Linked DNA regions of Alligator mississippiensis. The protein of the gene in region 1 purifies or fractionates together with the protein of each later gene. This does not show direct contact. Links are inferred from orthologs where the notes say so. Each region holds a gene or a part of one and is shown on either strand. Other genes may lie near its edges. The genes, in order: FOXM1, MYBL2 and CCNB1.

The links.
Region 2: the proteins of FOXM1 (region 1) and MYBL2 purify together in Homo sapiens (affinity purification with western blotting; 3 studies listed by BioGRID and IntAct, with this or other methods). This does not show direct contact. The link is inferred for Alligator mississippiensis from reciprocal best matches to the Homo sapiens genes FOXM1 and MYBL2.
Region 3: the proteins of FOXM1 (region 1) and CCNB1 purify together in Homo sapiens (affinity purification with western blotting; 4 studies listed by BioGRID, with this or other methods). This does not show direct contact. The link is inferred for Alligator mississippiensis from reciprocal best matches to the Homo sapiens genes FOXM1 and CCNB1.

What each region holds. Positions count from the first base shown.
Region 1 is NC_081827.1:143,898,140-143,908,063, forward strand, and holds the start of FOXM1 (forkhead box protein M1), read left to right. Parts: upstream 1-5,595; 5' UTR 5,596-5,767; coding exon 5,768-6,140; intron 6,141-7,953; coding exon 7,954-8,105; intron 8,106-8,677; coding exon 8,678-8,884; intron 8,885-9,320; coding exon 9,321-9,449; intron 9,450-9,924. Other genes in the region: TULP3 (tubby-related protein 3), read right to left, coding at 67-107. UniProt on the Homo sapiens protein: Transcription factor regulating the expression of cell cycle genes essential for DNA replication and mitosis. Plays a role in the control of cell proliferation. Also plays a role in DNA break repair, participating in the DNA damage checkpoint response.
Region 2 is NC_081832.1:22,458,226-22,468,729, forward strand, and holds the start of MYBL2 (myb-related protein B), read right to left. Parts: upstream 4,817-10,504; 5' UTR 4,795-4,816; coding exon 4,739-4,794; intron 2,725-4,738; exon of another isoform or gene 1,520-2,724; intron 78-1,519; exon of another isoform or gene 1-77. UniProt on the Homo sapiens protein: Transcription factor involved in the regulation of cell survival, proliferation, and differentiation. Transactivates the expression of the CLU gene.
Region 3 is NC_081826.1:258,264,323-258,274,994, reverse strand, and holds the start of CCNB1 (G2/mitotic-specific cyclin-B1), read left to right. Parts: upstream 1-6,089; 5' UTR 6,090-6,177; coding exon 6,178-6,198; intron 6,199-6,292; coding exon 6,293-6,469; intron 6,470-6,624; coding exon 6,625-6,759; intron 6,760-8,253; coding exon 8,254-8,427; intron 8,428-9,814; coding exon 9,815-9,973; intron 9,974-10,448; coding exon 10,449-10,672. UniProt on the Homo sapiens protein: Essential for the control of the cell cycle at the G2/M (mitosis) transition.

The DNA.
Region 1 (9,924 bases):
GGAACGCCCCCCCGCGCTGACCGGGCGGCGCAGGAGCCTCGTGCTCCAGCCCCGGCCGGGCCTCACCTGCCCCCGCAGGGCGCCGCGCGGCCCCTCGCGCTCTCCATCCCCGCCCGCGCCGTTGCTATGGGAGCCCAGTCGCGCTAGCTCGGCTCCTCTGCTCCCTCCGCACTCCTCCCCGTGCCGTTGCTCCAGGCAACGGCACCCGGCACTAAGGCGCGGCACCACTGGTGGGAGGCGCAGCACGGGGCGCGCCTATTGGCTGCGGTCGAGAGGGAGGAATGAAAAGAGAAGCCACGCATGCGCACCGCGCGGGGTGGTGCCTTAGGCGCCGCCCCGCCCCGCCCCGCCCCGCCCCACCGAGCCCGGCCAGTGGGGGCGGGGCTGGAGGAGCCCCTGGGCGACCCCCCCCCCCCCCCCCGAGTTCCATTTAACACGGGGCATCGCTGTGAATAGCAGCCCCCTGGGTATGGGGGGAGCTCAGCTGCATGTAGAGCAACCCCATGCACCCTCACCCCATACCGTCTTGCTGGAGCAGCCCCTACTGCCCAGCTACAGGGGCTGTGGCTTACCTGCCCTAGGGAGTCCAGCCCCCTCCCCCCCCACGGCTGTGTGCCTTCCCCAGCTCCTATGGCCAGGCAGTGGGGGCTTTTCCAGCTCAGCTTCTAGGGCTGGGTAGTGTGGGGTAGCTCCAACCATGTCCCTGCAGCCAGGCTCATGGCTTCCAGCTGAGCTCTTATGCCCTGAGCAGGTAGGGCTGCTCCAGCTAAGACTGGGAGGAAGGAAAGGGCATCATTCTGGCATCCCCTATGTTGGTACCCTTCTTACCTCACTGCTCTTAGTTAAGCTACTGCCAGGAGCAGCAAATTTGAGGCAAGGATGCCTCAAGCTGGACCACCTCCCCCCTCCCAGAGACATTCACAGCTGGACCACACAGTGGATTGAAGCACCTCTCGGTGGGAGTAAGGAGTCTCAGCCTCACTGGGGCTTAGGTCCATGCTTTGAACAAGGCATCTCTCTCTTCATCCCTGCAGAGTCATCTCCCAGTGGGACCTCCTTGCATTAAGCCACCAGCACAGAGGAGATGCAGCTGAACTCCTGTTCTGCTCCAGTCAGCAGCTGCCTGTACCTGGGAGCTCAGGTCAGTACTGGCTCATCTTCACCATGATGTCACTATTGCTTAGCTTCCCCTTCTTTCTCAGGTATTTCAATAGGTGAGGCCGTTGCCTCCAAGTTACCTTCACTCCATACTGGTGTTCTGGGGTGTCCTTGACTAGTGATGTTGAGTCATGGCTTTCCAGTCTGTCAGCACAGACAGTGACATCACTATGTGCATACAGCGGGAAGGTATTCACGGGTGACACAGTGCCACTCTGATCAAGGCTCCTTGCAGATGACAGTTCTGGAGTCTGTATATCTGGTGGACTGAAGATCTCTAGCTCTTGAATAGGAGACTGAGAGGTTCTCTCTCGAAAGCTCTTTGGGTTGCTGGCTTTTGTTGCAGAGCCTGTCTTGGGCTGGGCATGGCATGCCTTTGCATTAGTTTTGGAATGCCTTGTGCAGGTACAGGTAGAAGTTTTTGGATTCTCAAAAGTTAGAGAAGGAAATCTGCAGACAGCAGGTTTCTGACCAGCTCCTCCTCCTTGAAGGAATCCATAACTCTTTTCCTGGATCTGGAAGTTTTTGGACACATGCTTTTGCTTCTTACCTCCCTTGCCCTTGAAGCCCATGGGTAGAGTGGCTTCAAACTGCGGGGACACCTGAAAAGCCAAACAGAGATGGTGAAAAACCATTCTCTCAGATGGGATAACCCCTCACACTCCTTGGCTCCTCCACAAGGAAACAGCAACACCATTCTCACTGCACTTCCCCTTTCTCTAATGTATCTATTGATCTTCATTTGAGAGCTGCCGTTGCCTCTTCCAGCACGTGGTCTAGTTTACCGAGATTTCCTCAGCTGCAAACTATGTTCGACACTCAAGACAGCATGAAAAATTTGGAGGCTCACATAGCCACAAAGTGCAGTTCTACTCTGAAATGCAGTTTTAAATGTGCTATCTTCTCTGAATATACTTAAATGCATCTATTTTAGTGATAGAATAAATCTTTAATTGCTACTGAATCCTCCACAGTTCAAAGAGCAGGTTGGATTCTGTTTCTTCTTGTGTTTTACAAACCACCAGTCTTGTTGATACAACCAGGAAGACAAAGCAGCAGCACAGGTGTAACTGACACCAGAATATTAAAAGGCAAGTCACCATGTTAGCCTCAAGCTAGGCAGAAGCCAATCTCTAAAGGTACCACCACCCTGTCCTGTTTTCTGCCAGAATATTGTAGGTGAAGGATAAGTATTAAAGAGGCCTAACTGGATTCTTAGACCCCCAGCTGAGGTTGTTTCACTGCACAAAACACATCTTATTTATAAAAGGGACATTTATTCTGCAGTAATGGAGACAAAAAACATAGAATCCACACAGCCATTTTTAGAGACTTTTCAAAGAAGACTTGCAATTCAAAGTTTTTTTTTTAATAATTAAGTCACCTATTATAGGGGTGAATTCTGATATTGTATTCTTAAATTACTCTAGAAACCACCAGTCTCTTTCATGCATTAAATTACTGCGCAACATTTCACAAGCCATAACCTAAGTCAAACAGGAAAAAAAAATGGCAAGTACCTATCCCACTGTTTTCGAGATTTCCAATCAAAACAATTGGAGGATACACAGGTTCTACACACAGGGGACTGCAGACCCCAGGAAATGTTTACGACTAGGAGATTCATGCAATTGAGATTCAAGTGATGAAATGAGGCCTGAGACCTAACTTGGGATTCACTATAAGTAGTCAGGAGAAGTCAGAGGAGAAGTTAGCCCAATAACTGCAATACTAGTTACCCAGCCATTACTTCTCAGACATCTCCAGATATTGGGATATTTTCCAATGTGTTCCAGATCCACAGTGATTCTCTCTCATCTCAGCAAGTGCTTTGCTTATTGATTTAGAAGCCATATAGCTGACTGCCTGCAACATGTTTAAAGTTGATCTGCTCTGAACTTCTTTCCGCCCCCCCCCCCGCAGCAAACAACATAGAAATTGACCTCAAATAACTCCAATTTGCATGGCTGGTGGAGTGTTCAAATGTATACTTGAAACCTCACTCCTTGGGGCTGCTTTGTTAAAAAGTTTTGAGTCCAAAGTAGCAATGCTATTTAGCAGAGCTGCCCAAAGTGATAGCTGCAGCTAAAACCAAGGCAGTTCCCACAGTACAGCAGCACAACTATTTAAAAATCTTTGCACAGAATGGCATCATGCAGGCAGTGCAAATGACTGCAAGACTGAATAAAACGGACACTGAATTGCCCTCTCAGCCCATGGGAGGGGGACGCTGGAAGGAATGCATGGAAAGAAGATTAAAATACAAACTGAGCTGGGGGAAGGGGAAGGGTCAAATGTACCAACCTTCCCTTCCCTTGCAACTACAGCTCATTACAAGGTACAACATCAATTTTAACTCCATGCCACAGACATCAACAGTCCCTGGTTTATTATTGTATGAATGACAGCAGAAAAGCAAGCTGTTAAAGTAGACATAAAAATAAATGCTAAAGAGAAGAACTACAGTTAGGGGCATACAAAAATGGAGCTAGCACCTTAACTGAACAGCAGGGATCCTGGTTTTCTCCGATCAAAACAATCCACAATTTTCAGATTAAAAAAAAGTAACCAAAATCCACATTTTTCCATGATCAAAATGAAACACTACTATATATAAATTAGTGGCATTTCATTTTAATCACAGAAAAATGTGGATTTTGAGTTACTTTTTTAAATCTGAAAATTGTGGATTTTTTTTTTTAAACAGAGAAAACCAGGATCCCTGTTGAACAGGCAGGTATTACTTTAGGCATAGCTTTCAGCCAACCACACTTACAGCACAGTAGCTATTTCAAGTATCAAAAAAAAAAAATCCATAAAATAAAAATGAAAGAATAAATATTTTATTTTCTGTGCACAGGGTTTTGAATTACTATAAAATCCATAAAGCAATTTCTCTTTCTGGATCCCAGTATTCAATGTCATTATGCTAATGTACATGACATGGAGTTCTGTTTCATTGCCAGTGGCCCTAAAGTATCATTCAGTACCTGAAGTGGCAATAAAGCTTGAGCTGCTTGTGACTTGCAAGAGTGGGCTTTGGAGCAACTCCGAACTCTACAGCTAGTTAAACCACAAGGAAATAAAGAAAAAGCACCCATTTATTGGCTCGTGCCAATATCCAGTACAGATCTCTCCATTACCTTGTAAAAGAGAAACAAAACAAAACACTGTATGAAATGAAGGAGCAGGAAACCTGTACTTACCCACTCAGTAGAGGCATTCTGGTCTACGGGTCTGGTAGGAACACATCTTGGGTTCTCAGCCAAAGGAAGAGAAGACCCATAATGATGAACAGATCCCTCCCGTGGCCTCTCAAGGAAGAGCAGCTCTGGCTTCTTGGCCTTGCGGGTGCATTTTTTCTTTGGAGGCATCAAAAGGCTTGAGGAAGCCACTTAGAGACTTCATGATGCTTGCTGGAGCTAGTCAAGAGAAGAGGAAGACTTCTCAGCTACTCCCAGATCTGCAAAGAACAAACGGAGGGACCTGAGGCCACCAAGCAATCTTGAATTTCTTTTAAAAAGTAATGCTTCTGATTGTGCCTAAGCTCTCTGAAAAGAACTGTTTCTAATGAAGACTGGAATAATAAATACATTGCTCTACAGACACAGAGCTAGGCTGGATACAAATTGATGACTTTTTCAGTTTAAGTTAGAAATGGCAACCTACATTAATCCCTACATTGTTGAAATCCTTTAAAACAAAAGAAAATAGTAACGTGGTGCACACTGCCCACCAACACTTTAATGTGAAACCACCAAACTAGGTGGCTACAGAAAAGTTTGCTGAAGTGCTGCGCCAGCTTCTGTGTGGGTTGCCTCTTCTGCACATACAGAGGCAACGGTCTTTTCTTTGGTCCAATCAGTTATTTATTTGTTCACGGCTGAGGAACCAAAGTAGACACTTACTTCCTTCCCCAACCTACATATAAAAGCCGAGGTGGGCACGTCTGAGACCCACCCGTGCTCAGCGTGCGGCCCCCGGACCCACAGCACCTGGCCGCGGGGCGTTCGGCTGCTGAGGAGCAAGCGGCCGTTAATGTCGCCACGCCCCCGGCCCCGCCCTACTGCCCATTTTCCTCATGCCCCTTTTCCCTCAGAGCCAAACGGGGCAGGGCCACACCTGCGTACCCCTGTGCGGCCGGATCGGAGCAGCGACCCGCCCCCTCCGCACGTCCTTCCTTTGCGGGAACGAGCCCTACCGCCCCGCGAGAGCCCGCCCGCAAGAGCCCCCAGCGTCAGCCGGCCCGGCACGGGCCCTACCAACCCTATGGGCGGTCCTGCCCCCCGGTCCCGGCTTGGTGGCTGTTAGTTGAGCCCCGCCCGCGCCACCTGCCTCCGGGTCCGCACCCCCTCCCATCTGCGTGGAGCCGCCGCGAGCACTGATTGGCCGCGCCCCGGATGGAACGCTCGGGCGCCCTCCCATTGGCCGCGGCCGGCACGTGACGCCAACGAGCAGCCGGGCGCCAAATTCAAACGGAGACACGAACGGCGGCGCCAGGGGCAGCGCTTGAGCCCGGAAGCGGCCGCGGACCCCCCCCTCCCCCCCACCCGGCCCCGCGGGGGAGGGGCCCGGCTCGGCCCATGGCGACCGCCGGCGCGGGTCCAGCATGAGGAGCAGCCCGCGCCGGCCCCTGATCCTGAAGCGGCGGCGGCTGCCGCCCGCCGCCCGTGATGAAGCGCCGCGACGGGCTCCGGGCGCGGCGGCGGCGGAGCTGGCGGGCGCGGGGATCCGCGTCACGGCGCACCCGAGCCTGCCGCGCACGCAGGTGGTGGCCATCCCGCCCGGCGCCGACCTGCGCAGCGTCATCGAGGTGCTGACGGCCAAGGGCAAGGGCTGCGGCAGCGACGGGCCCACCAAGTTCATCCTTATCAGCGGCGGCGGCACGGGCACGGCCTTGGCCTCTGCCCCCAGCCCCGCGCGCCGCCTGCCCCCCGGCGGCAGCGACCCCGGGCCCCCGGGCCAGGGCCAGGCCGGCAGCAGTACGTAGGCTCTGCGCGGCCTGCGGCGGGCGGGGGTGGTACGGGGAAGCTCCCGGCCGCGCTTGGGGGCAGGAGTCCCGGCCCTGAGTGCCGGAGTCTTAGTGGTCTGTTTCCCCCCGGGGCTTGTTGGGGCTGGCGGTACAGGCTGGGCACTCCAGACAAGCAGAGCAAAGGTTTTTTGGAAGCTGGGCTTCAGGCTTGCTAGGAGATGTGGGGCTGGAGCCAGGTGGGGAGCTGGGCACTTGACATCACTCCATTTTAGTCTAGAGAAGAGGGGACTTCATAGCAGCCTTCAACTACCTGAAGCGGGGTTGGACTGTTCTCAGTGGTGACAGAATGAGGAGCAATGGTCTCAAGTTGCAGCAAGGGAAGTTTAGGTTGGATATTAGGAAGAATGTTCTCACTAGGTGGGTAGTAAACACTGGAGCAGGTTACCCAGAGAGGTGGTGGAAGCTCCATCCTTGGAGGTTTTCCAAACCTGGCTAGATAAAGCTGTCTGGGATGATCTAGTTGGGGATGGTCCTACTTTTAAGCAGGGGTTGGACTAGATGACTCCTGAGGTCCCTTCCAGCCCTAATTTTCTATGATTTCTATGAAATGCATAGCTAGAGATACCAGGAAAGGGAGATCTCTGTTGCTTTTGGACTGGCAGCTGCGGCTTCTTCCTTGCTACCCCCTCGTGAAGAAACTTGGTCCGTGCCACACCAGGGATGAAGGTTATATTTTCTCAGCTTGGACTTGAATGGCCATTTGGGCTTCTTCCCCATGGGGTTACCTCAACCACTGCCTGCTGACAAATACACTCTTCTAACAAAAAGAAGCCTCTGTCTCATGTGTGTGCTGGTAGATAAACTCCCACATGTGCAAATGTGCCTCAGTACAGGTGCTCCACAGTCTGTAGGTAGTAGCTCTGCTGCTGCATGTGGCTCTTAGACTAAGGAAAATAAATGTATTCACTTTTTGCTACTGCTGTTCAGGGCCCTTGCAGACAGTCAGACTTTAGTGCTCTTGAGAATCACATCAACCTGGGGCAGATGCTGCAGGTTGGCAAAGCTGTGAGCAGCAGGCAATGGAGTTGCTTACATGGAGAAATGAAGTTTGGGAAGGAGCAAGTGGGATGTTTTCACCTCCTTCAGAATGGTCAAGAGCCCCTGGCAGACAGGTAGAATAGCAACCACTTTCAGCAGTTTGAGAAAGGAAAGTTGAAAAGACTTTCTTCCTTTTCCAGGCATTAGGGGATGGAGGAGATGGAACAGTTCACATGGAACAGTTACAATTTGGGATGTTTGTGAGCTAGAACCTGAGGAAAGAGGTGGTGCTCAAGTAATTGCAAGAGGTCAAACTAGAGTAGGAAGGCCAGCACCCTTCTCCCTCCACCACATGCATCCCTGCCAGGAGCTGAGCTCATTAAGGTCCTTCCCAGGCTTCTGCTGGTAGAGTGCATGTCTTTATTTCTCATGGCCTCTGTTGCTAAGTTTAGTCCTCTGGCTAGTACATGCCTGAATTTCTTTTTGTTAAGAGTTGCTTTCAGCAGAAACTCATTTTAGTTCAAGGAACAGGGTGGGAGGAGGGATTCCAATTAAAGCTAGCTTTTTAGGCTTGAAGCTACAAATTGGGAGTAGGGCCCATCCATAATTAAACCACAAACTCTGGCTACTTCCACAAGGTTGTTTAGCTTTGTAGTGCTATTGTGTACCTATGTCTTAAGGGGGCACTGAAGATACCTTTGAGGTTCCTGGTTGGGGTGTCCTTCAAGGCATCTGAGATGTATTTGCAGATAAGTGAGCAATGCTCTGGGTCGATTTCTCTGCAGGCAGTGGAGAGATGACAAGCTGTGCATTGGATAACAGCCTAACTAACATCCAGTGGCTGGGAAGGATGAGCTCTGATGGCCTGAGTCCTTCCACTGTGAAACAAGAGATGGAGAAAGAGAACCAGACCCCTGTACAGGTGGAGGGAATCAAGGTAAGAAGCACTCTAGGGATGAAAGGAGTAGAGCATAAGATAGAGGAAACCTCTGGAGAGGGGAAGGAGATGGGATACATAGGTGAGAAACCTTGGAGGCGACAGACATAACACAAGCCTTTTCCCCATGGAAGGAGGGTGGTTAATCTGGTGAAAAGAAACCTGAGGGGGAATTTGATAACAGTCTTCAAATACAAAGAATAAGTTGCTTATAAAGAAGACGGAGACTCTATCCACTGGGAACAGGACAATAAGTAGTGGTCTTCAATTACAAGATGGGGAAATCTAGGTTAGAAAGTTCATCCTAATAACCAATCTAGGCAAGTTAAACTCTGGAAAAGATTATTTGAAAAGGTTTTGGAATCTCCTTCACTGGAAGCTTTTAAGCATGTTAGACAAATACTTGGATGAGGCATTTTAGATAGGGATGCTCCTATCTTGAACAAGGGTTTAGACTAAATGACCTCCTGTAGTCCCTTCCAGCTCTATTTTTCTGCAATTCAATGTGGAGCTGTGCAGCAGGCTTCAAATTCCTTAACTTGCAACTATCACTGTGTCCTTTTCTCTCCCAGATAGAGGAGGATTCTAGTGCTGTTGCTTCAACCTCCACTTCCTCATGGCAGGACTCAATATCAGAACGGCCCCCCTATTCCTACATGGCCATGATCCAGTTTGCCATCAACAGCACTGAGAAGAAACGTATGACCCTGAAGGACATTTACACTTGGATTGAGGATCACTTCCCCTACTTCAAGCATGTGGCCAAGCCAGGCTGGAAGGTAATATGCTGTCCAGCAGTCATGTCCACTTGTGTGGGTGAGGTCAGATAACAGGGTGACTATAGTGGGACTGTTGGATGCAAATAGAAAAACAATTACCCAGTCAAAAAGCATCAACCTGTGAAACAGGATAGAAAATAGTTTTATAAAGTGCCACCTTCTATTCCTGACATTCCCTTTTCTGTTTCAACCTCTCCACCATTCTCTTTCCTGCTCTAGCCAGGCAGGGGAGAGGATAACTGATCACTAGGCTGGGAGCTGGGCTCCTAAATGTGAGGGGAGCAAGCAGCTTTTGTGATTAAGAAGACCAAGCATATGGTAAATAAATTGGATCAAAGTCTGCCATGGGCAGAGCTTCGCTCCCTGGACTGTAGTGTCTGAGGATGTTAGTTGCACTCTGTAATCAAAAGCCCTAAGATGTCTTGTATCTTTCCAGAATTCTATCCGACACAACCTATCCCTTCATGATATGTTTGTCCGTGAGACGTCTGCTAATGGTAAAATCTCCTTCTGGACTATACACCCTGATGCCAATCGCTATCTCACGTTGGACCAGGTGTTTAAGGTGAGTGCCTCCTGTGAAGGGAACAGGATGGCTTTCCTGATTCCTGAACTCCAGGATGTTTGGCTGCAGCTGACTTTAGCGGGGAGGTAAAGCTGCCTTGACGTATGGCCTGTGTTTTTAGAGCTTCAACTAAGTCATTTAACTTGAGAAATGGTGGGTTCCTTATTTGAAGTAGGAGGCATTTTGTTTTGGTCAGGAGTGATGTGCTGGAGCATGTTGGAAGCAAGGCTCCACTGGGCACTGTGCCAGCCTTGGCACGTGAATCCTGAAGGAGGTCAAGCTATTGGCCATACACTTTCCGAGAGCCAGAGGCAAGTTCCCAGTGCAGACTTGCATTACCTACAGTGGGACTCGAGCTATTTCTTCCTGCAGTTCCTAATTCTGACGGGACAGGGGCAGAATTTCCTTCTGTCTGGGAGCTGTAGAACAGCATCATCTTGTGAAAGCATTATAAAAGGGAAGCTCTCTCCATTTC
Region 2 (10,504 bases), on another chromosome or scaffold:
ACCAGGCTATAAAAGCTGTGGTAGCTGTATCAGTAGATTAAGTATGGTGCTCAAGAAATCTTCTGTAGTAGAAAAAGGTGAGCTTTTCCCTTCTCTTTAGAAAAGTCTTGGTTTTTTTTCTTGTTATTTTACAAATGTTTAAGATTTTCCCTAGGAAAGGAAAAAGAAAACTTCTATGCTAATTTTGTCTTCTTTTTTAAGATCCATTTGAAGGTTTATAGTCTCTCTTTTTTTTAATTTTAAATAGCCATTGTAGTGGGTTTTCACTAATTCTACTTCAGGATTTTTTTTCTTTTTTTAGGCCTGACTTAAACTACATAATCTTTTTGGTAGTACTCAATCAATTAGCAAAAGCATAAGTGTGTCCACACGCAGGGCTCTGTAGGAGAGCCTGCTACAGTCCACTTCCGTCTGGGAGTGCCAAATGGTCCCCATCAAATGAAGGACCATTCCTGCTATGTTGCTCTCTGAAGTCCTTTTTGCCCCTTGAGGACAAAGAGGATGGGACTAGAGCCATTGGAGGCCATCCTTTGAAGTGGACAGAAGGCAGGATGCAAGTTCTTGGCATACAAAGTATGAACTGGAGTCTCAAACAGCTGAATCTAGTGCTAAAAAGGGGCTGCCTTACAAATCAGTTGTGCTACAAACAAGCTTCCAGTACACTAATGAGCTTAAACTTCCTAGGCTGCATCATTGGTGTGTCTTTGATTAGTATGGACAGAGAGCTCTGATTTAGCCTCCTGCAATCGCTTGAACTCTTTCAGCCATTGTAAAGATGAAAGCTAAATATGATGCTCAAGCTAATAATTTGTCTGACTGACTCCCAGGACAACCACTTAAGCAGTCTTGGCACCTTGTCAGATGGTATTTGGCCAATATTTTCAGTATTGGCTGCACAGCTCAATTTCAAAACAATGATGCTGAGTGAGATGTAAAATTGAACTACAGACCCACAAAATAACTTCTAGTTCGTATCAAATTTAAGCTACAAGGTACGGGAAGGTACATGTAAAGAGAAATGTGCAAAGAGAGGAATTTTTTTTTTTCCAACTATTTAGGTTGGTCTAATAAAAGATATCCGATTCACCCAAAGAACCTTGTCTGCCCATGTTCTTAGACCAACACAGCTACAACCTACACCCCTGTAAAGAGAAATGGCACAAGGTCTGGTTCATACACTGGTAGAACTCTTTGCAAGTGCTAGCTGAAGGAGTAGGCTTTTTACCCAAGCTAACTATATTGGTATAAAGGCAACTTGTATTGGGCTTGCCTGTGTTTGTGGCACTGGGTGGTTTCTGTCTTCCAATTCTCAAACTAGAACAAGCTCTTCTGATGAAAGCTCTCTCAGGCTGGTATAAGTGCCTCCATATTGGGAATAAGGCCAACTTTCACATCCCTGTACCAGTGCACTTAAAACCTCAAGTTTCTAATCTGCTCCTTTCTCAAGCTTTAATTGACAGTAACATGCTTCTTGGGGCTTCCTCTGCTTACAAGTTGTCTCTCTGTTGGATGCAATTAGGATTTTAGAAGAGTGAGTGACTCTTGGAAGGCTCTACAATGTCATCCATCCACAGAAGCAATGCCAGTATCATGACACTAAAGGAAATCATGGAACTTGGATTTGTGGCAGGTGTCTCCAGCTATACCTACTCATCTCCAGTTAATAACTACACAGAAACTAACAGTACCTCTAAGCCAGATGGTTGGGATGGTCTCCTTGACTTGGAAAGCATGATGATGATAAAAGGCAGTCCTCAGCATACTTTCACAAGACCCGAGTCCTCTCTGACCAGCAGTATGAAGGGTGAATTGCACAGTCAGATCCAAGGCATTTGTGATGGTGGCCTTGCTTCCTTCTGCAAGACCCCGAGTGGTCATGTTGCCTTTGACTTGTCCAATCTGGTTTCTGAATACAGCAGAGTCGATTACACTGTGGATATATATTATGATACTAAGTCCTCTACACCATGCAGGGAAGAGAAGTGCCTCCAGTCAATGGAGAACTTGCTCTCCAAGAGCTCAGAGACGGTAATTGATTTGTCAAATATCAGGAGGCCACCCCCACCTATATTGGAAATATCTGAGATACAAGCCCCTCTGGACAATATTCTGTCCCTTGATGTGAGTGCTGAAGAGCCAAGATCACTGGGATTTGTGAAAACAGATGCCTTATCTCTGGAGACGTCTTCCTCTGCTATTATTTTGCCTTGGGCTGCTACTAGCAAAAGACACTGTATTCCTGCCTTGGTGTCTATTTGTTATGATAAGTGAGCCAGAGCCTGTAGCTGTGGTTCTGTCTCAACACCTATGATTCTACATTGTAGAGCAAAGCTATGATGAATGCACCAGAAGAGTTTCTACTTCCATTATCAGAGTTTTTAGCGTTGACTCTGTTTTGCCTTTGACCATCAGTTGCTGTGTTTTTGAAGCTGGCTTGCATCTCCACAGCTGCCACTCCTTCTCCCCACCACTAGCTCAAAATCTAGAGAGATGGACTAGCCGAGTACAACCTATGACACATCAGTGTGTATTTGCAGCATGCAAAGAGGCTAGTACTTAAAGCTAAATTACTGCACTGAACTGTAGGGATGCTTGTGTTTGGACAAACACTAATTTTGGTCTATAGTTGTCTATATAGTAATGAATTACTGGAGGTTTGTCAGATTTGATTATAATGGCTCTGAGTAACTTTGTTTACTGAATAAAGCACTACTGTCACTTGAACTCGCACTTTGATTTTGCTCTAATAGGAGACGCTATTCAAAGTAATTTAATTAGGCACTCTATAAATTCTACCATGCAAGAGGCTTAAATTGGAAGAGGGCAGAGTGAGATCCTGACAAAATAATGCTTAGGAGAATGATAGTTCAGTTCTGGGATACTAAGTAATAAACAGCACAGGAAGGCTAAATCAGGTGAGTTTGGGGAGTAACACTACACCTAAGTGTGCATGGGATTGTTATAGCAATTATGCAGTAACTTATAAAAAGATGCATCTGCTTTACTAAGACTATACTTCCAGACCTTCAAACACCGGCAATGGGGAGGGCTATCCAGAGATACTAAACAAGCAAGTGTGTAAGAGTATCCTTCAGAGGTTATATTCTACTCTCTCTCCTTTTATGCAGAAAAAAGGAAGTGTTAACAGTAGTAACTGTAGGGATGTTGAGAATATACTTAAAACACTACCAATCCCTTCAATTTTAAGGTGCTGGGCAGCGGGAGCAAATATAGCAGCATTGGGGGAGGGAGTGTTTTTTGGAGCGTTTTTTGTTTAATAATTTAACAAATGGCAGACTTCAGAGACTCTTACTACCTGATGGCCTGACTGAACTGTAAGCTGCTTCTTTAAGCTAGGCAACACTTCCGAACTCATCAAAATTTACCATGAGTTCTGAAATAGCCAGAGCTTTCCTCATTCCTTAAGAATAGTGGACATCATAGTCCAGGTTAGGGCAGGAAGTGATAGCTTTCTTCACTGAACTAGCTTCTTTGTAGGTAATACAAAATGTAAATGCCCTCAGGAGATGCTGGGTTACAGTGAGGCTAGCAACTTAACTTCCCAACTGTAAAAAGAAGATGAGTATTGGAGTTCTGAGGGTACAAAACTACCTAGCTCAGGAGTCGAAAAAGGATGCAAGTTTTGGGTTGTGTTTTGTTGTTGTTTGGGGGAGCAGGGCAGGTTATTATTAGTTGGCTTGAGAGAGTCCTGGAAAAAATATCCCTTAACCCTCTAATGAATTTTTAATATCTTTTATAAATGAAACAGCTGTTCCTCTAGCTGTAGCTCTGGCAGATGGGGCTAGCTGTAGCTCTGGTAGACCGGCCAGGAGTCCTACACAATTTCCTGGACTTTTTTTTTAAGGTGGCATTTAAGGTCTCTTGCTTTTTCTAGGGGAGGCTTTAAATTTTGACTCTTGCTATCTTGGAAACCACCTGCTTGTTCATCCCAGCTCCCCTACCCTGACCGCTGGTTATAAGGGAGCTGTACCTACTTAAATCTCTGTGCTCCAACAGAGGCTCCAGATGCAGCTAAACTGGTCCATCTTTAATGCAGAGTTAAAGCATCATGGGATATGTAAGACACAAAGAACCAAGATGGCTGACTTCACAAAAGAGGACTAAGTGTTGTAGGGACAGCCTGTTAGCTGATGCCGCTTGGCTGGTGAAGTTAAAAGCAGTAGCTTGACCCTCTTCTGAGGGCTCTTCTGAGTGAACCTGTGCACCAACTAGGCACAAATACTGCACTTAAGGCAGTCTTGGCAACAGGCAGAAGTGACAGGTGGACACTGCGAGGCTAGGGCAGCGGAGATCATGGATGGAGCAGGGGGAACTGAAAAGAGAACAAATCAAAGCCAGCATCCTGCATTTAGAGAGAGAGTATTGACGGTAGGAGAACTACTGGCTTAACTAGGTACTAGATGGGCTTGTCTCTCACTAACACCCACTGCTGTCTTCTGGAATAACTTCAGGAGCAAGGAGCTGAAGGAGGGGAGGGGATAAAAAGGGAATACTGTTTCTACACAAATAAACTCAGACACTTCTCTAGTACTGATGAAGTGAAAGTGCTCCATGTACCCTGACAGTTCTTCAGTGTGAAACAACACGTGTGCTAACTAGGAACTGGTGGTGGGCAGTGTTGCCATGTGTCAGAATTTCTTCCTGTTAAATAAACCCCAGCTTCCTCCGTGATCCACAGGGGAAATGTGCACCTCTGAGAAGACAAAAAAGAAGTTACCTCAAAAACGATCCTGGAAAGGTTTCAGTGGTGGACTGCAGCAGGATAGCAGCCATGGCCCACTCAGCATCCTGCAGTCCTTTTAATTTGTCCCCCTTACTTTATCACAGCTCAAGGCAATGCCTGCAAAGGAGATATGACAGCCCTTGTATCTTGAGAAAATGGGCGAGTGCAGAATTAGATGCGAGTGGCTGCGCAGCTCTAAACACAGCCGCTCTGAAAGTAAGGGAGAGCTACTGCCTACACATGTGACAGGAGGGCCGGCAGTGTGGGAGAGAGATGCTGCTAGCTCACTGCTGCTGTGCATCCCTCTTCAGGCACACAGGAAGAAAAACAGCATGAGTGCTATGGGTGCTCAGCCAGGCAAAAGATGGGACAGACAGCACAAGGGCCTACTGTTGAAAGGGTTTGCACTGAAGATGAATGGTTTTGCAGGTATTTAACAAATGAAAAGGTATTTTGATAGCAACAAAGATCAGAGCCACACTGTTAATGACTCATGTAATGAGGGACAGATCACCCCTGAAGAATGTAACACCTATGGGTGCTTGTACATGTGCAACTGGGGTTTAGTTCTCCCTAAATTGAAACGGTGGGTTTTTTAAAATCCACCGTTACAATTTAGGGAGAACTAAACCCACAATGCATGTACAAGGGTGAGGGAGGCCTGATCCTTTCCCCACCTCCCTGCCCGCAGCCTACCTGCCTCTCCTGCAGCAGGGGGTTGTAGGGGCAAGCAAGCTGCTGGTGGCTGAGCAGTCCCTAAGCTGCGGGGCATCCCAGTCCTTTCTTCTGCAGTGGCACCCCTCAGGTGGCACCTGCCCCAGGCAGTCCTAGGGAGCAGCACCACCTCCCACGGGAAGCACCAAGCCCCACACAGCTTGGGGGCTGTGGGACCTAGTGGCAGCTCATGCAGGCATTCTTGAATTTGGGGGGAGGGGAGGGGCAGGTGCTGCCTGAGGGGCACCACTGGCACCTGGGCCAGGTGCCAGTGGGCAGGTGCCACTGGGGGGGCACCACCACCATGGAGGGAAGCACCGGGGTCCCCTCCAGCTCTGGGAGCACTTGGCCCATTGGCAGCTTGCCCCACACCCCTGAGCTGCCAGCCTGCCTCAGCTGCGCAGGGCCCAGTACTTCCCTCTGCAGTGGTGCTGCCCCCTGGGACCACCTGGGCCAGGTGCCAGTGAGCAGGTGCAGCCTGGGGGGCACTGCCACCACAGACAGAAGCACCAGGACAGCTGGCCCCCCAGGAGAGACGGATAAGCTCCAGCACCTTATGCACCATCCCCACCACCCTCTCGCTGTCTGGAAGCAGCTGGCTTGCCCCTCAGGCTGAGCTGCAAGAGGGGGGCTGGGTATGCTGGTAGTGGGAGAAGGCAGTAGGGATGGGGCACTAGAAGCCCACCAAGCTTGAGCTTCCCCAACCACAATGGCTTCCAGTGCCCTATGCACCATTGCACTTTGTTAGGTATCAAACTGAAATACCTTGGATGGGTTTTATCTTGCTACGCTAAAAAGTCATTTAAAGTGTAATACGCTGCCAAGCGTGTAAATATCAACGCTATTAAGACGGTGCAAAAGGGCACTTAAGCCCCTTTAAAGGGCAATTTTGTTGCATGTACAAAGGCCCTATATTTCCAAGTGAGAGTGCAAAAAGGAGAGTGTGTTATACCTGTCATTCAGATGGGGAAACTCAGGCACCAAGGGTGCCCCAGAGTTGCCCAAGGTCATACAGCTGGGGACAGATTTCAAATCCTATAAGTTCTGGGCCTGGGTTTAATTTCTTATAAAAAAAAAAAAAAAACAAAAACATTCCCACTCCAAAATGTTTACAGATCTGCTGGTCTCACACAGGACTAATTTGCAGATGATTCTTAAAATAATTGTATTTATGATTTGAAATACTTCGTAATGTGGGAATTTTTGAGGTGTCTAGCTGTAGGAATGACATTATTCTATATCTTATATAATGGCCCATTGCAAGCCTTAGGGAAGGAAGTGGCAATACTTAAGATTAACTTCTCCAGTGACCCTCATCTTGAGGTGCATCATCTTCCAAAGATCCTTATTACTGTGCATGAATTTGTTCCCCTTCCTTTTTAAATTTAAGATTACTTACAATACATATAAAAAGTCATGACTAAGGATACAGATGGAGAGCCACTTACATTAAAGGAGAGAATCCCATACTAATTTGTTTCCTGCAGAAATGTTGTTGTGTCAAAATGAGGGGCTTGAGAAGATGGTAGTGACTTGGCAGTGAAATGGGGATCAGCATTCCATTAATAGATGGCTTTTAAACTCATTCATTCACAAATTGCAAAGTAGCTAATACATAACCATGGACTCTCTGCATAGGTGTAACTTTGAATAGTCTTTCCCCCATCATTACATTTCCACCTGTACAACTCCAGCTGTTGGACACTAACAACAATGGGCCTCACCCAGATCCAGCCTTCATATTATGACAACAGATGTACTTGCCCTCTCTCAAATTATGGCTGGGTTGTTTCTAAAGTGACAGTCCACCAGAAGGTGGAGGGATCAGACTAACCATTATCAGATTTGGCTAATGTTAGTGGAAAGCTCCTGTTAAGGTGCTAGGAAAATGAGAGAAAAGAAAATGCTTCCTCTTGGTAGCAGAATGGATTCTGATGGAACAGCTCCCACACATCTAGAGGCAAGAAGGATGGTACTGAAAATGGAATTCCCCTGAAACTCTGTAGGGGGAGGAGGCAGGGGTGTGCAGATTATCATGGGGTGAACAAGTAGAGCAGCAAGAGGCTGTGCAGTAAGTAACACACAACAGAGGATAACAGGTGGGGATGAAAGTAATTTAAAGCCTGTAAATCCCAAAAGTTAACAACTATGCAGAAGGCCCAGCTTGTGAAAGGGGTTGAATGGCTTCAGTGAAAACTCAGTCCTACCTAAACTACAGCTCTACTTGTGAAAAACAACCTATGATTTTTGTGGTTTTATTTATTTATTTGGTGGCAGTATAGGAAATGGGGCTTACAGTGCTAAAGCCAGTCTAAAACTGCAGCCCCCTATCTTTTAACTATCGTGTTCCACTGTTGTTGAATGTTAAGACTACTGTGATTGTGTAAATCCCCATCTTCTCACTAGCTACAGCTCTTAAACCCTCATCCATATGCTGCAGGATGTATAATGGTTTCTTCATGTGTTAAATGGATTAAATGAGAAAGAAAGGATAACTCCAACATAATCCAGAGCCCTTCCAACGAAAGTAGAGGGCTCCTAGCAAAGGTGCTTGGGTACTATGGTCTGCCTCTAGCATGCCACTTTCTGCTTTAAGGAAGAAAGTGCAGTATTAGCTCTGCGTTTTAACCCTGAAAATCCTGGGATGTGTGACTAAATTTGCCTTTGAAGCAGCTTAATTACCTTTTTGCACCACTTTAATGGCATCACCATTTACACCTGCAGTGGCTTGTTTTAATTTCATCATGCTGTATTTTGCTTTAAATTACTTTGTTACATAGCAAAGTAAAAAGTATATTTTAGTTTATGATGAAACAAACTGCAGAGATATATCCGAAGGTGGTAGGGATGGTGCTTGGGCAAGCTTGGCCTTGGTGGGCTTCCAGTGCCCCGTGCATGATCCCTGCTGCCTTCTCCAACCGCCAGCATACATAGCTGCCCTCCTGCCACCTTCCTACACTGCCCCAGGGGCAAGCCAGCTCATTCCCAGGCAGTCCCAAGCAGCAGGAAGGCAGCAGGGATGACACACAGGGCATGGCAAACCCGCCAAGTCCGAGCTTCCCTGAGCACTGGATTGGGCTGGGTGCTGCCTGCGAGCTGGGGAAGCACCGGCTCACTAGTACCCCGTCTGGGCAGCCCCACTGCGGGGAACCACTGGGCTGCGCAACCTGGCAGCAGTTTGCATGGGCAGGCTCTGCAGAGGCAAAAGCAGCAAGGGGCCCATTCTGGGGGGGGGTTGTCCAGCAGAGCCTGCTTGCCTCTCCCGTGGTTGGCAGGTGAGCTGCCTGCCCGCAGGCCCCGAGCTGCAGCAGCCCTGGACCTTCCCTCTGTAAAGGCAGCACCTGCCCACCTGGGGGTGCCACCACTATAGGGGGGGGCACTGGGGTAGCCCACAACTGGGGAAGGCTTGCTCAGCCTGCCAGCAGCTTGACCCCTGGCCACATGAGATGTGGGCAGGCTCAGAGGAAAAAAGGATCAGGCCCTTTACTGCTTTCCCCTCCCTACCAGCAGAGCCTGTCCATACGAGCTGCCTCTGGGTCGCTCAGCCCCTGAGCTGCAGGGGAGGGAGGAGCAGTCATGCCCCCTGGGCCATCACAAAAGAGAAAGACCAGCCCCTCCCCACCCCTGCAGCTGAAGTCCTGCTGGCAGCTTGTACCCCGGCTGTGGGAGAGACAGACAGGCTCCAAGAAAAATAAATAAATAAAAGGATCTGGCCCATCACCACTTCTCTGGCAGAGCTTACCCGTGACCCGGGGGGGGGGGGGGGGGTGAGCTGCTGGTGGGCTTTCACTGTTTTGTCACAGTGATGGAAGTCCCTAAATTGAAACAGTGGGTTTTTAAGTTGGTGGGTTTTGAATTGTTAAAAACCCACCGTTTCAGTTTAGAGAGAACTAAACCCCTGTCATATGTACAAGTGGCACTGGTCTACAACTTGCAACCATTTAGATTGAAATACGCAAAGGCATTTTTGCTCATTCTTACTTGGACCCATATTGTTCAACATCTTCATTAATGATGTGGACATTGGAGTCAGAAGCAAGCTGGCCAAGTTCGCCAGTAACACCAAACTTTGGGGCAAAGCATCCACACCTGAAGACAAGAGGGCAATCCAGGCTGACTTGGACAGGCTCAGCAAATGGGCGGATGAGAACCTGATGGTGTTTAACACTGAAAAATGCAAGGTTCTCCACCTTGGGAAGAAAAACCTGCAGCATCCTTATAGGCTTGGCAGTGTTACGCTGGCTAGCACTAGGGAAGAAAGAGACTTGGGGGTCATCATTGACCACAAGATGAACATGAGCCTTCAATGTGATGCTGCGGCTAGTAAGCAAAACGCTGGCTTGCATCCATAGATGCTTCTCAAGCAAATCCCAGGACGTCATTCTCCCCTTGTACTCGGCCTTGGTGAGGCCGCAGCTGGAGTACTGCATCCAGTTTTGGGCCCCACAATTCAAAAAGGATGTGGAGAAGCTTGAGAGAGTGCAGAGGAGAGCCATGTGCATGATCAGAGGTCAAGAAAACAGACCTTACGACGACAGGCTGAGAGCTATGGGGCTCTTTAGCCTGGAAAAGCTCAGGCCCAGGGGTGATCTGATGGCCACCTATAAGTTTATCAGGGGTGTTCCCCAGTATCTGGGGAAGCATTTGTTCACCAGAGCACCTCAAGGGATGGTGAAGTCAAACAGTTATAAACTACTGCAAGACTGTTTCAGGCTAGACATAAGGAAGAATTTCTTCACTGTCTGAGCCCCCAGGGTCTGGAATAGCTTGCCATCGGAGGTGGTTCAAGCACCTACATTGAACACTTTCGAGAGAAAATTGGATGCTTATCTTACTGGGATCCTATGACCCCAGCTGACTTCCAGTCCTTCGGGCGGGGGTTTGGACTTGATGATCTTCCAAGGTCCTTCTAGCCCTAATGTCTGTGTGAAATCTGTACAGAAGCCATGATGGATGGATGCAGAGATGGGGAAGGACAAATCCTAGTTATGGTGCTGGTTACACACTCTGACCCCTCAGCTGCCTTGCTTCTAAAACATGTTAAAA
Region 3 (10,672 bases), on another chromosome or scaffold:
GAATCATCCCTGAATAAACCATCTCAGCTAAGTGTCTGTCTAACCTGCTCTAGAAAATTTCCTCATATGGATGTTCTACAACATTTCTAGGTAGCCTATTCCAATGATTGACCAGCCTCAGAGTCAGAAAGTTCTTTCTAATATCCAACTTAAATTTCCTCTACTGCATCTTGAGGCCATTGTTCCTCATCCTGTTCCCTACAGAGAAAAGCCCATCTCCGTCCTCCTACTCGCCCTTCAGGTATTTGAAGGCTATTAACAAACAACCCTCAATCTTTTCTTCTCCAGAGTAAATAATCCTAGTTTTTGCCTTTTGAAGTCTTTGAAATAGCAGCAGGTGAACATTGAGTTGGATTATAGCAGGTTAACATTTCAGCTGGTCAGAAGATGTGATCTGCTTTTCCAAAAAGTTCATAATGATGCATTTTCATTTGAGAATTTCAATGCAATCTTCTGCAAATGCTGCTGTAGTGTCTCAAATAATCTGTTCTTCTGGTGCCTCATAGTCCTACTCATGTCCTATAAGCACCAAATTCCCTTTTAGAGAGAAAAGGCAGTGCATCATAGGAATCCCAGACTGTGGTGCATCAGGAGAGATGCAATCTGACCAAGTAGGAAAATGTCATAAGCAGCAGAAGAGTGGGGGCTAACAGAGCTCAGCCCCTCAAACGCAGGGCAGCAGGTATGGCTGGACAGGAGCCCAACTGCAGGCTGCTGCTGCAGGGAGGGAGTGGTGTGCACGCTCAGATACCCTGCACAGCCAGGCTCGCAGCTGGCTCAGCAGGCAGGTAAGTTTCTTTCAATCTGATTTTTTTATGACTGCCTGGACTTGGGGCAGATTGAGAACCCCATAGTGCAGGAGAGAGTGAGGTAGGGGCAGGGACAAATCATTCACCTCTGCCCCTGCCTCGGTCCCTGCTGCACTGCGGGGATTGTCCCACAACCCAGCCCGGCTGGGCCCCATTCACAGTGAATGGTGTCCCGGCCAGGCTGGGTTGTGAGACAATCAGAGCCTGGCAGCTCCTCCAGAGGGGCAGCACTGGGAAGCCAAGGCAGGGGCTACATGGCCCCCTGATCTTTGCACAGGGCAAGGGCAGGCTGCAGCTGCAAGCTGGGCTCTGCTCCCTGCCTCTGTGCTCGCTGCAGCTGCTTTGAAAGCAGTGCAATGCCATGTGCATCCCAGTGCTGTGTGGGCTGGGCAGCAAGGCACATGGCGCCATGCCGTGCTGCTTTCAAAGCAGCTGCAGTGAGGAGCAGAGGCAGGGAGCAGAGCCCAGCTTACAGCTACAGCCCACCCTTGCCCCATCCAAAGATCAGGGGGCCATGTGCCCCCACCTTGGCTCCCCGGCAGTGCACCTCTGGAGGAGCTGCTAAGCTCTGATTGTCCCATGACCCGGCCTAGCCAGGGCTGCATTCACCATGATGGGGCCCCAGCTGGGCCAGGTCATGGGGCAATCAGAGCCCAGCGGCATGGGAGGGCCAAGGGAGGGGAACATGCCCGCCCAGGGCTTCCCTGCGGTGTGCGCGGTGGCAGGAGCTGCCTGCCCATGCCCCTGGATGAACTGCTAGGCTCCAATTGCCCCACAACCTGGCCCGGCCTTAGCGCAGCCCAGCCCTCCCCTCCCCACCCCCACCCAGAACAGCCCAATACAGCCCCAGCCCAGAGTGGCAGCCTGCCCTGCCCCATGCTGATCCAGGGCCACACACGGCCCCCATGCCTCCTGGGTGCACGCAGTGGTGGAAGCTGCCTCCTTCCCGTGCCCCAGGATGTCACGGCTTCATCCCACGTCCTGTGCCCCGTGCCCCGTCGCGGCTGTGCAGGACCTGCCCCAGCAGCAGCAGAACAATGACTTGGAGTGGGCACAGGGGTCCCGGGGGCTCCGTCACCTCCAGCCTAGTGGGTCAGCCAAGGCTGGCCCTGCTCTGGCCCCCCCAGGCAGTGCGGGACTGGGGAGGTGGCAGATTGGTTAGTGCGGGGGAGTGCCAGCACTGGGCAACAACCCCAGGCACAGGGGAAGGGGTGGCCAAAGGGGTGCAGTGGGCCCCAGCCCCGATCCTGGGCTCCGCTCCCTCCCCCTGGCCCCTTCCTCTGCAGACTTTCCCACCAGGGAGGGGGCAACACATACACGATCAGCCTCCCTCACAAATTATTTTCTCCCTCCACCTATGGAGAACGTGAACACAAATCAACAGAAGAAATACAAACTCCCATAAGCTAGTGCAGCAGTGGATCCAAATCAAAACTTTACTGTCCTTGGATGAAGTTATTTTTAATGGAAAGTTGAACTCTCCTATGTAAAGCAGACATTAGTGAAAAGGTTCACTGTCTTGAAAGCCATTTTTCCATTGAAAACTGATTGATAAGAAGTCTTCTGTTAACGCCTTATTTAATATATCACATTAGCCTAACTTAACAGCATGACCTTGCACTTAGAAACGGCAGTCAATTCCCATACAGATGCAGTAACAGCCTACACACACAATGGCACTGTACAAAATCAAAAAAGATGCAAAGCTTTGCAGGGATATAACCTATGGTTTGTAGCACCACAGCTCATTGCATCACCCTCTACTCACTTCCATGGGGCATTGTGAAACAATTTGTCTCTTCTCTGAGAATGGTGAACAGAAATGATCTAGGACCAACTTCTTTTCCCTGGTGCCTCCTTGTGCTCTGAAGCGTGGTAATCTGCAACTGCAATTGACAGATACTTTATATGTGGCAGCAGTGACCAAGAGACAGCAATAGTACAGATGTGAGTATTTAGGAGCTGGCTTTTTCTGGCCAGGAACAGGAAAAAAAACAGTCAGCACTGCATGAACTTAGCTAAAGCCATCTTTTATGGCTGATCCTCCTACCCTGCAAAAAATTCAGACCAAGACTATGATCACTGAATGATGGGGATACAGTATGATAAAACAAAGCTGCAGACTCAGAACATTTATAAAAGGAGAACAACAACACCTGCGTAAGCTTTGCTCCATCTTTGAGTACTAAAACATCCAAAGGGGCAACAACAGGCCCAAAGTGTACTGCTATCACCCTGTAAAAGTTGGTACTCCCCCAGGTTGTTACAGGTGTACTGATAAACAGTTCAGGGTTGGCATAGCACTGTCACTCCAGACCCCCATCTGTGATCAAACAAAGGCAAAACATCTGGGCAATCCAGCTGCAATCAACTTCCACAGTCAAAAGATGTGCAATGAAAAGCATAGGGGCACAAACATTTAACAACACCAAACACTGCAGAGTGCAAGACACTGATGCAGTGGCACGTGTTATGGAACTGCACATCAGCATGGAATCTGTCCCCTTTCTTGCACACTGAACTGGGGCTTGTGTGCAAGATAGGCATGGGTGGATAAGTGGTTTGGGCTCACCAGGTGGCTCATGATCCTGCTTCTCTCAAAAGCCATGTCTTGACCCCTCAGCTATGACCATGGCAAAGAAACTGGGATAAAGCATCCACACCTGAGGACAGGAGGGTGATCCAGGCAGATCTTGACAGGCTCATGAAATGGACAGATGAGAACCTGATGGTGTTTAATACTGAAAAATGCAAGGTTCTCCACCTTAGGAGGAAAAACCTGCAGCATGCTTATAGGCTCAGCAGTGCTACGCTGGTTAGCACTACAGATGAAAGGGACTTGGGGGTCATCATTGACCACAAGATAAACATGAGCCTTCAATGTGATGCTGCGGCTAGTAAAGCAAGCAAAACACTGGCTTGCATCCATAGATGTTTCTTAAGCAAACCCCGGGACATCATTCTCCCATTGTACTCGGCCTTGGTAAGGCCACAGCTGGAATACTCCATCCAGTTTTGGGCTTCACAACTTAAAAAGGATGTGGAGAAGCTTGAGGGAGTGCAGAGGAGAGCCATGCACATGATCAGAGGTCACGAAAACAGACCTTATGATGAGAGGCTGAGCCATGGGGCTCTTCAGCCTGGAAAAGCGCAGGTTCAGGGGTGATCTGTGGCCGCCTATAAATCTATCAGGGGTGCTCATCAGGATCTGGGGGAAAGTCTGTTTGCCAGAGTGCCCCAAGGGATGACAAGATCGAATGGTCACAAACTCGCTGTGACCAATGCAGGCTGGACATAAGGAAGAACTTCTTTACTTCTCTACTGCCAGAGGCGGTTCAAGCACCTACTTTGAATGCCTTCAAGACACATTTGGATGCTTATCTTGCTGGGATCCTATGATCCCTACTGACTACCTGCCCCTGGGACAGGGGGCTGGACTCAGTGATCCTCCAGGGTCCTTCCCAGCCCGAATGTCTATGAAATCTATGAAATTCTGCTCTCACCTCTTTTCCTCCCATGTTCACTTTCCATGTAACCCAGATCCCTCCTTCTTCATTTTTCAGCCATCCCTGGATCCTCCCACCAGTATCTGAGCTCTTGCTGTTGCTCTGACCACCTGGAATTATCCTATGCATCTCCACAAATAAGTCACAGACTTTGGCTTTCAGACAGCAGTCATCTTGGTGTCCTCCCTTCACTCACAGAGACTGAAACTGGCTCAGAAGTTCCTAACAAATTAAAAACAAATGTTTATGAATGTCCTTGGGTCCCAACATGGTTTGATATCCCATGGATGCAGCTGGAAATAAAAACAAAATACAACTGATTTCCCACATCATTCCTCTTGTACAAGCTAGAGCCTGCCAATTTCCAAGCTTGGTCAGAGCTTAGAAGGGTGAGTTACCAAAATGTTCTCACCAATCATCATCTGTGTGATATTATGAAAGAACTGGAGCCTGTGGAAGCTGCTAATCAACTAAAAGATCCAGGCAGCAGTTAATGTGGAAGCAATGCTTTTAAAAACCACCTACTACATGCTCCCACTTTGGTATTTCATGCTCTCTTGGGAAGTACAGACTGAGCTGCAGTGTAATTTTCTAATAGTCAACCTGTGTTACCCCAAAACCTTGGATCAGGGAACCAGTGGGTTGTTGAGAGAAAGAATGCTCGAGAGATGGGAGTTTCCACTCCATTTAATGTAGGTTTAACAGATAACACACAATTTTATACTATGAAATGTACTAGTTATCCTACTCCTATGATGTTCAGATAGTCCAGAGTCTTGTTGGACTATTCAGAGGCACTGGCTACCATAGCGTTTCCCAACCTTTTCCAGCCCAAGACACACATTAACATTTTTTTTCTGTGGCACACCTGTTAAGGCATTCTGTCCCCATACTCATGAGCTCGTTGCCACGGCAAAACTCCGTGGCACAGCTGTTCAGAGGCTCTCGAACTGCGCATCCCCTACAGCCAACACGTGCAGATGAATTTCCTTCTGCTTGGCCGGTTCTCTCTCCTCCCCGCCCCCCCAGTCAACACATGCACCAGTCTTCTGTGAATAGTTGGTTGATCTGGCTTGTTGATGCAGCTGGTTCGTTAGCACTAGGAGGCTACAGAATTTTCTTCTCATTATTCCCAAATTCATGTGGCACACCAGTTGAAAAGCTCAGGCCTAGCAATCCAACCCTTTGCTCCCAAAGAACCCTTTGTTCTTTGTACCTTTTGTCTCTTTCTTATTCAGTATTTGTACTATTGCTACTGGCTGTTTACAGACTATGTCATCCAATAGTGAGAAACTGATATTTCCCTAAAACCTGATCTGCATAAACACACCTGTACCTACATGCCTTACTTAGCATCCTGTCTTTCTGCACATCCTCCCCCCACAATCATCCAGATGTTTTGACAAAATCGTCTTGCTCAGCTCGACCTAGCAGGTGACCTGCTAGCCATCTCGGTAGCTATGCAACCCCTGGCAGGAGCAAACACTGGCAGCTTTATAGGGCCATCAGGCCCAAGCAGACGAGCGGACACCGGCTCAGACGGCCACGGGACGCACCAGACTACAGGAACACGGCCCTGCTGGGCACAGTCAGCCACACCCCGCCAAGCACCAGGCCCAGGCCACCCCTCCCTCCCCGCCCCCGCGTCCCGTGGTACCAACAGCCCGCCCCACTCCCTTGCCCCGCCCCATTTTCGAACTTCTGGAAGAATCAGCGCTCGGTTTCTGCGGCAACGCATTGGGGGTGGAACGTCGAGCTGCCAATGAGGAGGGAGGGGAGCAACCAATGAGCGGAGCCCAGTGCGAGTTTTAAACCTGCGGCCGCAGCAGGGGCTGGTGTTGGCGGCGGCGGCGTGCGGGGACATGGCGCTGCGGGTCACTAGGGTCGGTAGCGGGGCGGCGGGCTGGGGTCGGGGTCCCTTCCCCGGGGGCGTCCCGCGTGGCTTGCGGCTGCTCAGGGCGCCTCGTCTCTCCGCAGAACAACATGAGAGTCAGCGCCGAGAACAAGCCCAAGGCCAGTGGGGCGGCGACTACAGTGGCTGGCGCCAAGCTGGGGGGCGCCGCGGCCAAGCCCGGCCTGCGGCCCCGCAGGGCCTTGGGGGACATCGGCAACCGCGTGTGCGAGGAGCCGCAGCCTAAAGCTGCCCTCAAGAAGGTAATTTTGGAGGGGGGAATGCTGGACCTCGTGCATCCCTGGCCCAGCCAGCCTTGTGGGGGGGGTCTGCTCTGCAGATGGGGGTGGGGTGCCAGGTTTGCTTCAGGCTGTGTAGGGGGCTCCTCGGCTAACTACTTCCCTCTCCTGCTGGGTAGGAAGCTAAGCCCACGGCTGAGGACAAGCCTGCTGCCAGGAAACCTGCAAAAGCTGTGGAGGGCACTGCTGAGCCTCTGAAGGAAGAGGAGCAGGCCCAAGAGCCTGCCAAGGTACCTGTCTGTGCACCAGGGCAGGTATGGTATCAAGGAAACAAGGGGGGCTGCTGTGACCTGCTCGGTCTGCATCTCCCACCACCTTCCACCTCTGTTCCCCTTCCCCTAGGGAAGGAGCAAAGTGAATTCAGTGGCACATAATGCCAGTGTAATGGTGGCCTCTTCCAAAGTAGTACTCGTGGCCATTAGCGTGGGACCTGAGCACCTCCGTCTCTAGTCTTTCCTCTTGTGTTCTGAAGTAATGTAGCACCCTGCCTGCAGGTGAAATAGGGCATGGGCAGGCTAAGGTCTCCTTTCCTTAAAGAAGGAAATTGGGGGGGAGCTTTTTTTCCCAGGGCAAGGAGCTGAGTCTAAGGCTTTTTTTTCTGTCTTGCTTCTTCCTCTGTAGGCCCCTCTCTTCTTCCTCCCCCCCCCCCCCCCCCATTGGGTCCAACCTTTTCAGAGCTGACACTTCCATGGGGTGCCTAGAGTCCAAGTTAAAAACAAAGTGAAAATAGAAAAACTAATACAGCAATACTTGTGTTGCAGAGAACTTGGAACCCCCCCTTCCCCTAAAATCCAAAGTTTTTTGTTTCATGATGGATTCCTATTTGAAGTCCTGGCGTTTGCAATGAGGATTCACACAGTACACCTAATAGTACTGACTTTGCATGGTACCCCAGAAAGGATCTCAAGGTTCCCAGGGTGCTGTAGCACCCTAATTGAGAATCGCTGTCCTAGGGCCAGGCCACCTAAACAACTATTAATGTTCCCCTCCCAAAGTATTGGGCAAGCTGAAGCCCTAAGCTACTGCAAACAAGCACTCTCTCATTTCATGACCCTAGTCCATAGGGGAGCCCAGATGAAATGTCTGACCTCAGATAATTGAGGCTTTACTGAGTTGAAAGTGTTGTAATGTAGATCTCCTCTTCCTTCAGCAACTGTTTCAGTGTAGGAATGCATACACCAAATGCTGCTGTCAGTTCGGTGACTAACTAAAAGTTGCCCATAAACTTGGAGCACAGATCCTGGCTTCTGTCATGTACCTCCTACCAGGGAAACTATGGGGGGGAGGTGGGGACTCTGCCAGAGAGTGCTTCACTGAGCTAGTACTACTAGCTTGGGAATAGCCTGCTTGTTTTACTCTAGTTTAATTGCTGCTTGTTTGCCCTATTGTAAGATCCCAGATGCACAATGATATGCTGCCCTAGTTCTGTGTAACTAACTCCTAAATCAGTGTAGAAATATTTCTCCCAAGGAAAAATAAAGGGCCAGGTGGCAGGAAATACTGATGACCATCTTGTGTCTACAGCTGTTCTGGAAATAGTAGCTTGTCACTGTTAGTAAGGACCAAACAGCTGTTCTACATATCGCAAAATACTGGGATATCTAGTAACTGGTCTGCTCTGAATATTGGTGTCCCCTTAACTCCATCTGTTTGTACACTATCTGTCAAACTCTATTTTTAAAGGCCTGATCACCAAATGGCTGAAAAACATGGCCTTAATTAAATATATTTAACTCCTTTCTCTGTAGTTGGAGCCTCTATCCCCAACCCCAATGGAAACATCTGGATGCATGCCAGTGGAGGAAATACTGTGTCAAGCCTTTTCTGATGTGTTGCTTGATGTAGATGCAGATGATGGTTCTGACCCAAATCTCTGCAGTGAATATGTGAAGGATATCTACAAATACCTGAGAGTTCTTGAGGTTGGTATGGCTGCTGACTAGTTGGTTTGGTTGGTTTTGTTTTTTCTAGCACATCTCCCAGCACTCTGCTTCTACCCTGATCCCTTGTAAAGAACTACAAGGACTAGCTGACAGAGGAGTCTAGTCATAGATGTTCCTACAAGCTTGCTAACAGGACCAGAACATATGCCAAACCTTTAAATGACAAGTGCATGCATTCACTAGAACGGGGGTGGACAAAACATGGCCCACAAGCTAGATCCAGCCTGCTGGGACACTTCTGGCCCACAGGGCTTCTTGAAACTTAAACAGTTACTACCTGACAAGATGCTAGTGGCAGGAGGCACTGGGTGCAGCACCAAGCAGCTCAGACTCTGGTCGTGTTGTGACCAGCCCCAACCTGACTTGCCCCACTCTTCTATGCCATGCTCCTGCCTAGCAGAGGCTTCTGCCCTGATGACCCTGTGGCTATTCCCCAGTGTGCCCTCCATCTGATTAGGTGGAAATTCAGGTGAGAATAGGAAGGGAGGTGGACTGATGGTGATGGCCTCACTACATGGGGCTCATGGGACTTTGGATGGCTCTGTGCTTCCACATGCTGCTCCCAGCTGGAGTGCCAGGATCACCACGTAGAGGCACAGAGCTGGCCCAGCCTGATAGCACCAGACTTCACACAGTTTCTGGGACTCCAGTGTGCCACCAGGCTGGGCTGGCTCCATGCTGTGTCATATGGGTCCTCGCCCTGCAGTTAAGAGCTGCAGATGGGATGGGTAGGGTTGGCTTCCTCCTGCCCTTCCCAACATGTATTGGGGGTGGGACAGCATGTATATGGTGCCAGAAGCTGTGGCAAGCCCTGTGCTATTGGGCTGGGCCAGCTCTATACCTCCACATGGTGTTCCTGGCACTCCTAGCAGCATGTAGAAGTACAGAGCCAGCCAGAACTGCTGCTGGTGCACGTGCCGCCCCCCCCCCCCCCCCCCAATACTATGCAAACACAAAACAAGAGGTTGTTTTGTTTGTTTTTTAATAGATCCTGCCTGCCCCCCCCCCCCCCAGGTGTACTTCTGGGGCAAGGGGAGGGATTTCTAGTGGCAATGTTAGGGGCAAGGCTTTGCATCCCAAGATGGCAACCAGGGGGTGGGGCTACCCTTGCAGCCCTCAATTATCCAAAACTTCTTAAGTGGCCCTCCAGCCAAAATAACTGCCTGCCTCTAGTCTAGAACTAGGGTTTTCAACCTAATAAGATGCAAGCACTAGTATTCAGTAACTAAAATTAAGTACTGGACAACTTGAAATAATTGTGCATAACAATTGCAGTATGCAGGCTTCAAGACTCAGATACCATTGCCTCCCTCTAACCAAAAGTTCTATTTTGTAGTAATATTAATTATAACTCTTTCCTATGCAGGAACAACAAGCTATCAGACCAAAATTCCTGTTGGGCAAGGAAGTCACTGGAAATATGCGTGCTATACTCATTGACTGGCTTGTGCAGGTGCAAATGAAATTCAGACTGCTGCAAGAGACCATGTACTTGACAGTTGCTATCATAGACCGTTTTTTGCAGGTATGAGGGGTGTCTTGGAACTATGGCAAAGAACTGCTGGTCTGTCAGCCACTTGTCATTAAGAACCTGACTGCTAATTGATCAACAATGCTGTGGGGAAAGCTGGTCTCAAAAGATGGTCTTCACTGATTTGCTGTTGTAAACAAATTTTAAGCATTACATTTCCAGCTTTCACTTGGAGGGAGGGAAGCCTAGTGAACTGTCCTTGTGTAGCAACAGGGCCAGGTATTATGTGAAAATCCAATGTTTTTGATAATACTTCCATACCAAGTTCTTGTAGAATTCCTAGCATGGTTCACTTAAAAGTGAATTGAACGTAAAAGTTGGGCTCCTGTCAATGACTGTGGCAGGCAAGTTTGTCAGGACACAGTTGACTACCATGGCAAACGTGTGTGTGGGGGGGGGGGGTTGTGTTTTGTTTTTTGTCACGGTCATTGCTAACCTCAAACACACGCAATGGATTCTCTTGTGACAGAACAACATCGTATCCAAGAAGACTCTGCAGCTGGTTGGGGTCACAGCCATGTTTGTTGCCAGCAAATATGAAGAAATGTATCCCCCTGAAATTGGGGATTTTGCCTTTGTAACAGACAATGCTTATACCAAGCTGCAGATCAGGCAAATGGAAATGAAGATTCTGAAAGCTCTAGACTTCAGCCTGGGTCGCCCTCTGCCACTGCACTTTCTAAGGAGGGCATC